2 linked regions of the Neodiprion lecontei genome follow. The protein of the gene in region 1 purifies or fractionates together with the protein of each later gene. This does not show direct contact. Links are inferred from orthologs where the notes say so. Each region holds a gene or a part of one and is shown on either strand. Other genes may lie near its edges. The genes, in order: NAD-dependent protein deacetylase sirtuin-1 and protein ECT2.

Region 1 (5,277 bases):
TGCTCTAACTTGATATTTACATCTTGTACAGGATGCTGTGGCAAAAGACCCTGTAAACAAAAATACGTCCGAAATATATATACTAAATTGGAAGTAAAACTTGTCGGCACTTGCCTTACACTTAAACCATGTATTTATTGCTGTAAAAAATAATTATCGTTACTCACCATGACATTCTATCACATTCTCAATTCCTGCTACCTGCTCGAGGGTATCTATGTTTTGCGAGTAGTTTCTAAGCAACTTCTTGTGTTTGTCCAACATCTTGATAAACCTATGGCAGGGGCTAGGCTTAAATTGGCCAGGATAAATTTCACGAGCGAATTTGAAAAACGGTCGTGGATCCTGTGCAAAGTAATTTATATCGAACATTGCCTAAAAATGAAATGAATTCGTTAGAATCTTCGAATTATTGACACTCAATTGTATTTCGCATTGAATTAATATTAATGGATAAAAATAATACAGTTCAGAGTCGGCATTTTATTCGGGTAGACTCACTTGTGGATCGGGTAAATTAGGAAAATCTTGTGCTAGCCTAGAGTAAACGCCATCTCTACTTCTGAAGTCGGGAATGCCACAGCTCACGCTTACACCTGCTCCAGTCAGTACGATTATCTTTCGGCTTGATTTTATCAGCCTAACTACATCATTGAGTGTATTAATATGCCTAAGCTTTTGTCTTCTAGGTGGTTCTGACATCATGTTCAAAATAATCTGAAACAACAAGGTTGAAACAAATTTTTTGAATTAACACATCCACTTTCTTTTCGTTTTTGTTTGATTGTTTTTACAGCACTGTCTATTACCGACCAAGTCTTGTTTTAAGAAACATCAATAAATACTTACCTTCCACAGAGTGAGGTCATCAACCTCTTCAGGTATCTGTGTGGAATCCATGAGAAGATGATGCAGGAGATCCCTAGGATCAGCTCCTGTCAGCATTTGTTTCTGAACCCAAGAAGAAACGGGTCTCCACTGTGGTCCGTCTTCCGCCTCTCCGGAGAGCTCGGAAAGCCCCGATAATTCGGACAAGTTTGATACGGTCGACGATACGTCGTCCTTTTCATTTGCTGTGTCTGGTCTAAAGAAGCGAAATGAATCAGCCTTTATAATATAACTAGGTATGTCATTACAAGAGAATTTAATGACAATTTGATCTTACGGATAACTGGTATCTTCACTTGTGGAATCTGTGCGAGCTGGTGTTGGTACAAGATTGGTTTCTGGTGTAGTTGGTGCAGATTTAGTTCCGTCGCCGAGTTCTGTAAATCCACTGTCGCCACCCAAAGTTTCTGGAACCAAAAGAAATTATCTTATTCTCTCTGAGCTTATGATAACTAAACGAAATTGAAAGTATGTTTTATTCAGGTGCTACATAAGAAAGTGAGTTGGTGAAAATAATCTTTAAACATTTCCAACATTAATACAATTCTGTTGATAATACTCAATTTCGGCATGAAAGTTATTTTTCATACTTACATTTCATGATCAGCTAATTCATCCATATTAGGATCAGTTTATTTATGCATTCAATTCGTTCCATTGATGAAATATAAAAATCAGTGACTCTCCAAACGGATCAATATCTCCCTGAGCTTCACTAATTGGTGATCATGCCAAAAAAAAACCAAAAAAATATACTCCGCTACATGAAAATACCTTACACTTGAGGTACATTTTGTATTGCAAAAAGAAATATCAAAAGAATACCATTATTAGTGGTAGGAATGATAATTGCTTCTCTCATAATCACAATCAAACAATAATTCACATACTAGGAATCAGTAGTTTCGCAAGGAAATTGTCCCACATTAACTGAGAATGAGAAATTTTCGGACGGCTTACAATTCACATTTTCTACACATATTTGATGTTGATCGATAATTTCATACAAATGTTACAGAGGTACATGCAGAGCTAAAAAGAAATGGCAGACATATCAATTTTCAAATCGTCCTTTGAAAATAAGAGTGCAACATTTATTTTTTCTAAAGTATTGAAAAAAAACTTGCATAGTTTTAGTAAATTTAAATATATTTCTTGGTTTTTTACGAAATTCATTGAAATGTAGACTATATTATAAGAGCTATAATTCTCAAATCTTACAATTTGCCTAACTTAATCTTCCTTTTGGATACCTATGACACAGTAGATTATAAACTAAATGGTTCGCTTATTAATCAATGAAGTTGTTTATATACAATTTAATTTTAACATATGATTATTACATCATTACTCAATTTACATATTTTCCATAGAACATCCATCATATAAGACATTATGTTGTGCTTTATTACGAGTAATTATACCAATTCTAAGAAAAGGAATCTTGAAAAAAAAACAATAAGAACGTAAAAATATACTTCCATGCATTATTTACACCTAATGAACAGTTTTCATAAAATCGTGTGCGGAGGCCCATCTGATGAAGTAAACTTCGTAATTTTTTTTTATTTCTCTACCTGGTAGAATGAAATGAAAATGTAGAGAAATATAATGAATGATAAAAAAAAATATGTATATATATATGTGTGCATCAAGTAATATAATAATAATAAAAACAAGTAACAACCGATGTGCTGTTGCATATTTGACAGATAATTTCGCGGGCTCTGGTAAACGTCAAGTTCGTATTATCTTTTGCGTTTGTGGAACTTGTGCCATCTGTGAACGCCACTAGACTACTTCGTACCGAGCGAGATCTCTCTGTCAGTGACCCCAGTTCGCGCGGAAGAACGAGAATCGAATGTAAATATTATTTAGCGAAAAATTATAAATAAATATTGACCGAGATCCGATTCGTTGCGATGAGGATATAATATGGTCAAAATTTATGCGGGGATAAGAGCGACGTTATTTTTCAAAATAGGCAAACGATGAAAAATAAAAATTTCGCCGCACTCGACGAACTGTCATGGCGGGCCGCCCCCTACGACGGACAAGAACAAACGGCATCGATGAAAATGGGCGGCCGTCTGTCGGGCCGCCATCTTTAATATAGAAAAATTTTCACTATTAATTTAGCATATTGTCTCAAAAATACCTTCCAGATCGTTGTGGACCGTCTCGTGCGACGCTTTGCAATCACCGAAATCGCGTTCCGACCCCTGAGAAGTTCCGTGACCGTTACAGTCAATCTTCCGACGTTTAGCTGGAGACGAATATTCTAGCAGCTCCGAATGAGACGCCATTTTCAACAGCTATGCAATCCGTAGTTCGCTGCGTAGCCGGTATAGGAAGCAGATGGCAAGACTGTCGTGGCCGTGCCTGGCGCTGCTCTTTTCCGGTCAAATCTTTTCCGTGTCGTACGACAAACTGCCAAGATGGTACGTATTTTTCATCCGTCGAATTGAGTGGAATCTTTCATAAGAAGTGAAAATTGTTTGACTCGAATGCCCTAAATGAGTCTGAACTAATAGTTCTCCGAAATATATATCCTGTATTCCGTCCCAGTGGGTCATGGATTATTTTTTTTTATAAGTCTTCAACTAACCGAAAAGTCAGCATGGAGGAGGCTAACGCTTTTGTAACACATTTCTACGATGTTATTGACCACGCTACGCTATACTCAGATCGGGCCAAAACTCGAGAACATGATGTTCTTACCAATTTTCACCTTGAACGAAACTCATTAGCTTCAGTGTTCCGTAATGACCGACCTAACCTCAAAGTGATATGTGTGTTGATTCTTTATTTCAGACTGAAGGCACTGCTACGATCAGGACCCGAAAGTTTATGACCAATCGGCTATTATGCCGGAAACAAATGGTAAGGTTTTTGAGCTTTTTACCGAACGATTTGTTCTTCTAATGCAGCTTTTCACTCTTGAATCCGTTCTTCTAATAAATTCAAGTAGCAAGTAATTGCATTGATCAATTGTTCCTTCAACATGACTTGATAGGAATATATAAAATGAGGGACAAATTCATCAATGAATAGAGTACATATCATAAATAGATACGATTTCACGTTTTTGGATGCCATCATAACCTGTCACCATACCGCCAATTGCTTTGTTTTTACCTCTTAGACACTATAATGTAATTCAAAGAAAATTGCAAAAGTATTGAAAGTTTCTCGCAATGAAGTGGAAATTTTATTCGTCAGGAGATCATCGAATGTATCGTAATATAAATAACTGTTGTCATTTATTCATGTAGTTGTTTGCATGCTTCTGTATTTTTCTATCAGGTCGTGGATGTGTTGCATCCCGGACAACCGTCGGTACGCAAAACAGAGATCCGTGAGAAACTGGCCAAGATGTACAAAGTGACCCCAGATGTAGTCTTTGTTTTTGGATTCCAAACTAATTTTGGAGGTGGAAAAACCACAGGTTTTGGTCTTATCTACGATACTTTGGACTTTGCCAAAAAGTTTGAGCCTAAACACAGGTTGGCCAGGCATGGTCTTTATGAAAAGCATAAGCAAACGAGAAAGCAGCGCAAGGAACGCAAGAACAGAATGAAGAAGGTACGAGGTACCAAGAAGAGCAAGGTTGGAGCTGCAGCCAAGAAGGTAAATTGATTACTTCTAACTCCTATAAGTACTCTATTATCAATTCGTAGTTTTTGTACACTGTACTAAGAAAAATTTTAGTTATCGATTTTGATCATTTAGTATTGTTTGTTATTCTCTTTAGTATGGCATTGTACAACAAATAAGATTCTTTGAAACAGTTGAAAAGTATTTCTTGCAAGGGTTTTTGAGAATTTCAGCCAGCAATTACATTAGTTACATTTAAACATTTGTGAGTTTAAAGTGTGAAAAACTGACACTGAGAACTTTGCTTTTGTACAAGCTATACTATGATATAAAGTACGTACTATTAGGTAGCAAAAGGCATGACATTTAAATAGATATCTGGTACAGGTGCTTTGTCAAAGTTTCAACTATAGTATGTACCGTATTGTTCTGATTATAAATTGATCCTGATTGTAAATAAATTTCTTGCTTTTCGACTTAATTTGAGGATTTCAATTTGTTTTTTTTTTTTTTTCAATATTATTTACATATAAGGGACTATCTCATCCATAAATCAAGTGTGAATTTTTTAATGACGATTTATATTTAAAACAATACGACATTGTTAAATTTAATATCTATTTTTTGGTGATGGGTCATTCTTTTACATAATTTTTTTCAAAAACAAATATCTTGGTTCATCAGATTGTACCATCTAAAATGTAAGTCATGCAAACGTCGCCTTCATGTAATTCAATCTTTGATTAAATTTAATAATTTCCCTTCGGTTATGACGGAGTTAAAAAATAGCTT
Region 2 (5,158 bases), on another chromosome or scaffold:
TATATAACAATATAACGAAATAACATTCTGGTAATCGAAAATAACTATAGCGCCCGCTTCCAAATCTGCGCGGATTTACCGGTCTTTTTCGTTGTCTGCCACGGTGTTCGGGTCAAGATATTTGTCTGCCCTTTCGTATATAAAATTTGGATGACTTCCTGTAAAAGTTTATTTTTGTTCCAACCCTTATAGTATGACGTAAGTTAGATACATTTTCGCGTGTCTTTATTGTTGTCTGCCGCCATTTTTCCAGCGACCGAGGTGTCTGCCATTTTTACTATTCAACTCAAAATATCATTCTCTGCTACCACACAAAAAATTAGCGCTTATGAAATGACGTTTTTCAATTGATTTTTTTAACCCTTTGCACCCCTCCCACCGCGTTCTCCAGTACTGGAGGCCAGGCAGACTTCCGAATCAATTATTAGCTATGTTAAGAGAGTATGACAAGATGGAAAATTTTGTTTATGAAATGACGTAACTAAAAAGTTCACTAGCTCTTAGACTATTACCATCACGTCGCACAACGAGAGAGATGAGCATGAATATATAATATCTACGAGACGTTAACTTAACTAATGTTGTTTGAAACGCACCAGCTTCCGGGGCTCGCAGCAATTTGATACATATTTTTAAAATGATAATGTAAATGACAATAAAAATGACCACTAAATGCACAAATACAGAAAGAACATTTTTCTTGTCCGTTTTAGATTTTGAAATAAGGAGAAGTGGAAAATTATTTTTTCTGAAAACTGATGTAAAATGTTCGCTAATAAATAATAACGATAATAATAATAATAATTAAACTAGAACAGCACAATAAATGAGGAAAACGTACGTTATATTAACGACTGTTATCAATGTCTAGGAAATAGATACATAAATATACAAATAATTTTGTTTGATTAAAAATAATAAAACGATATATCAAGGTTCCGTCAATCCGTCCATTAAAATTCTTGTTTATGCAGAAACGACACAAAGGAGAGAGACAGCAGCGAGTGAACGAGAGGGAAGAAAAATAAGAAAATTATATTTACAGCAGACGTTAAATGCACAGTAAAACTTACGAATTTAGTTTCGGCCCCGACAATGGAATATTTAAATGTATACAGTTAACAGCAATAACAAAATTTCATTGCTCAATTTATGCTGAGTCTTGGGCAAAAAAAAATTGTAATCCCATGGATAAATAATTGATCAAATTTAGCATTTGATTGAGCAATCATTAAATAAGTACCATTACTAAATAAATGAGTCTAAGGCTTTCAATCATATTTCCAGACTAGTTGGAAATTTTCAGCTCCCAGGTCCGTAATGATTCGGTTGAAATTAGAGTGGATGGGTTGGGATGGTACTTAATAACTTTATCTTATCATCAGCACGATCAAAGCTCGCAAGTCTGTCGATCTCGCTCTCACTGCCGTTAAAAAAACATGACATTGTAATTTATTTATCATCATTTTTGTCACAGGATGTCGGGTTAAATTAATGCATAAAATCCTGAAATTAATTTTTCTGGCCTACTAAGGGCTCAATTCTTTAGAATATGTTTTTCATTAATTAAACTAAATCGATTCTAACTTTAAAGGTCAGAATATGAGATTATAGGATATTTCCAAGACCCACTAATGCTGATGACTATTATTTTTTCTCAATTCTCCTGTAAACTTCGACGCGATGGCTTTCATCTCTTAACGACTAATTCACTGCAAGAAAGAAGTTGAATTTAATGAATGTGTTTGAGGGTCATTTTGAAAATCTGTAATGTCAATAATCTTTTTTGGTAAAGTAGGAATCCAGCGTCATGTTACGAACAGGCAACAGCTCTGTCTTTACGAACTACGTCATCGTTCTTCTGGATGGTTCAGAAAACATGTTGGTCTAAAGTTGGCTGAGATTATGTGAAATCTAGTCTGAGCCTATAAATGTGATAATGTGTTTTCTGGCATTAATATGACATTAGTGCCAAAACATCATTTTACTCTTTCTTGGGTACATTGGACATGTTTACATTGCACAGATTTGATAGAGTCTAATGTGAGATGAACCAATCACATGAATAGTTTCAAGAGCATTATCCAAAATTCGTTTCATTGATTAGTTGATCCCAAACATGGCGATGCAGACATGGCCGCTATCGCCCAAAAATGCATAGAATAAAAAACTCATTCGGTTGGTAAAGGACAGAAGCATCGCTCAAAAACAAGAGAATCAAAGCCTCAAACACGTATTAACATGTTTACAGATAACTCTTGGTAAAGGAAGGATGGGAAAGATACATTTGTGATTTTTTCAGAAACATGTCACTCATAGCCATTGCTGAGCTTGTATGAAATCTATTTTGAGCATATGTAAAGGTGATGTTTTTTTCTGGCGTTAATAGAAGATGAAAATACTACCAAGTTATCATTTCACTTTTTATTTTCAATACGTCTACTAAAATCTAGGACATTCCCCGAGTTCCGAAGAACATGGCCCAAAATGCAGAGTAAAGAAAATGACTCGGTCGGTAAGGATGGGCACAAGTATCTGCTGAATTTTTCCCTAGTTTACAGGAAAGTTATGGAGAAGGGACGAAGGGGGAGACACGCGTGTGTGTCTTCAACAAAGTGTGCAAGTAACTTACGTTCGGTGGCGGCCGCCTCTTCACTATTTATATCACTGGTACTGCTGTGCACGCTTTGCTCTTCCATTTTGGCAGTAGTAATCGCGCGTCGAGGTGGCGGGGTCGTCAACGTGTAGAGAGAGAACAGCACAACACAACGTCAGGTACGACGGCGTTTATTTCGCAGTCGTTTTTACGGCTGCCCGAAAATAAGAAGTCCGTCGCCTGTTTCTTCGCGCCTTCTGTTTCTCCCTCTTTCTTCCTCCTCTTTTTATATTGTTTATTCTCTTCTTTTTATTCCTGATCGATTTCAATTTTATTCAAATTTCCCCCTCTCTTCGTAGTTCACCCGTTTTTACCGCCGTTACAGCCTAATTTCCGTTAATTCCAGTTCTCGCCGTAATCGTTTCAACGACGAACCTTTGCGTCAGGTGCGTCCTCCCCTCCTGCCGCTATTCAATTGTTGAGGTGCATGCCTCGTTCCATTTGTCAGAGGCGGGAAAGAGGCGGCAGGGAGAAGAGGAAGAAGATATATAAAAAGAAAAAGTAGGAAGGAAGAGAATATTTTTACTATTTATGATTTACTAGCCGATTGTCTGTTCAATGTCTTTATTGGATATATTTATTATTCACTCGGCTGGTTTGTAGCTGTTGGTTTCTATTTTTTTTTCGTTTTTGTCTAGCAGTTTATTAGTTGATTATCATTAGCAATCGCCACCGCGCGTCGACAAATCGCTCCTCCCGATGATCGTCGTCATCGTCGAGACGACGGAACAGCTGAAACAAAAAAGGCGTCAACACGTTGCAGGTCGTCGCAAATTCGCGGGATTCAACGCATGTACAGTTGCCCCAAAAACATGGCAAACCCCGTTGATATTTGATGGAAAACCCGTTCAGAAAGATTAAAACATTGACAACGGTCATAAAACATTCAATATGAGATTGAGTTTTATCACTTCGAAGATTCAAAACTGCAAAAGATTCAAATTTGTGAACGATCTGAAAAAATTTGAATAATCGGAATTCCAAATCTTTGAATTTTTCAGAATAATCGGAACTTTAGAATGCTTTTGATAGGAGAGATGTTCTGGGGTAATTCCGTCTGCTACCCTAGGCAAATTCTTCACAATTAGTTGTAGGAATAATTCAAAATGCTATCCTTTATAATGCGAATTATTCCAAATTTTGATCAATCAATTCGGCCTGATAATTTCATGTTTATGTGTCATGTATATATATTTAATGATAATTGTCTACAAGCGCATATCTTGTAAACTTTGGGCCGCCGCTTGGTCAGTATATTGGCCAAGCTATAGTTAAATAATCTAAATGCAGCTTATTTGAATATACATGAACCCTAGAGCACATGTATCTTTTTTTCTACCCTCTAACGCGTGAGCAGGTTCACTATCAACCCCACGCGTTTCTCGATTGTAAGATCGTTCTAAAAGCAATAATAGGACTCGTAAGTGCACAAATCTTTTCGTTTTTTAATAAGGAAATGGATGGTGAAGAGCAAATCCGATTTTGTTGAAGTTTAGTTGGTGAAGAATTCAATCAACTACCAAACGGTACTGAAAAAAAAAACAGCTGGAGTGGTTAACAGGACCGTATATACAATCTAGGATTAAAATCAGCGGTGGTCTAAAGGTTCACATCTACAAACAGTTTGAAAAATGCATATCAAAAAAATGTCTAAGGAAACAAAATGATACCGGATATGACTATTGATAGATCGACAGCAATTAATATGTGACTAGTAGCAACACCAAAGAAACCTTTCATGTCAAATTGTACAGTGTTAAGGGGGTGCCCTGGTCGATTTTGACGTCGACGTATATATCTCTGAATATCAAAGTCGAAGTAGCTCAACCCCAAAAAAAAACTTTACAGACCCATTCTAAACAAAATCCTGAACAAAACTACTCCAGTATTTTTTCATTTGATAGAAAAATAAAGAAATAGCATGAATTCCATGAAATTACTACTGCGATTCCATCAGGGCATCATCTTAACCCTTACACTGCATACCTCTTGCGTATAACATTGTCACACCAGGCTCGCTGGAGACCCCGCGTAAAAAATAACTGTTCAGAAACAAAGATATTGATTCAAATAGCTCCAAAAAATTCTGGGATACTTTTTAACTATTATATTTCAAGGAAAATTAGCTATTTCTAGCAAAATGAAATTTTGTAATATGGAGAAAAATAACTCATTGAACATGTGTAAACCAAGGGTGTTACAGAACATTGAACATGCTGTCATTATGACCCCAGTGCGTAGCGTAAGGGTTGAGCAATTAACTTTGGTGGCAATTCGTATGAATGTCATCAGCTAGCTTCAGCGTCATAACGGCAATTGGCAATTATATGAGATGTTTTCCACACAACTTTCAGACATTACAATAATTGAGAACCGATAACTGTGAAAATAGAAAACCACATCCATGCTTTAATTTTTGATTGCAATATCAACTAAGATGAATCGATGTCCTGATTCATGTTCTATTGAGATTAAGCGAATGTCAAAAACCCTACAATAATT

What was found.
Region 2: the proteins of NAD-dependent protein deacetylase sirtuin-1 (region 1) and protein ECT2 purify together in Homo sapiens (affinity purification with mass spectrometry; 3 studies listed by BioGRID). This does not show direct contact. The link is inferred for Neodiprion lecontei from reciprocal best matches to the Homo sapiens genes SIRT1 and ECT2.

Annotation. Positions count from the first base shown.
Region 1 is NC_060260.1:5,661,417-5,666,693, reverse strand, and holds the start of NAD-dependent protein deacetylase sirtuin-1, read right to left. Parts: upstream 3,195-5,277; coding exon 3,047-3,194; intron 1,296-3,046; coding exon 1,166-1,295; intron 1,085-1,165; coding exon 850-1,084; intron 718-849; coding exon 502-717; intron 376-501; coding exon 168-375; intron 51-167; coding exon 1-50. Other genes in the region: 40S ribosomal protein S24, read left to right, coding at 3,327-3,329, 3,703-3,771, 4,195-4,518. UniProt on the Homo sapiens protein: NAD-dependent protein deacetylase that links transcriptional regulation directly to intracellular energetics and participates in the coordination of several separated cellular functions such as cell cycle, response to DNA damage, metabolism, apoptosis and autophagy.
Region 2 is NC_060264.1:21,477,852-21,483,009, forward strand, and holds the start of protein ECT2, read right to left. Parts: upstream 3,007-5,158; 5' UTR 2,700-3,006; coding exon 2,633-2,699; intron 1-2,632. UniProt on the Homo sapiens protein: Guanine nucleotide exchange factor (GEF) that catalyzes the exchange of GDP for GTP. Promotes guanine nucleotide exchange on the Rho family members of small GTPases, like RHOA, RHOC, RAC1 and CDC42.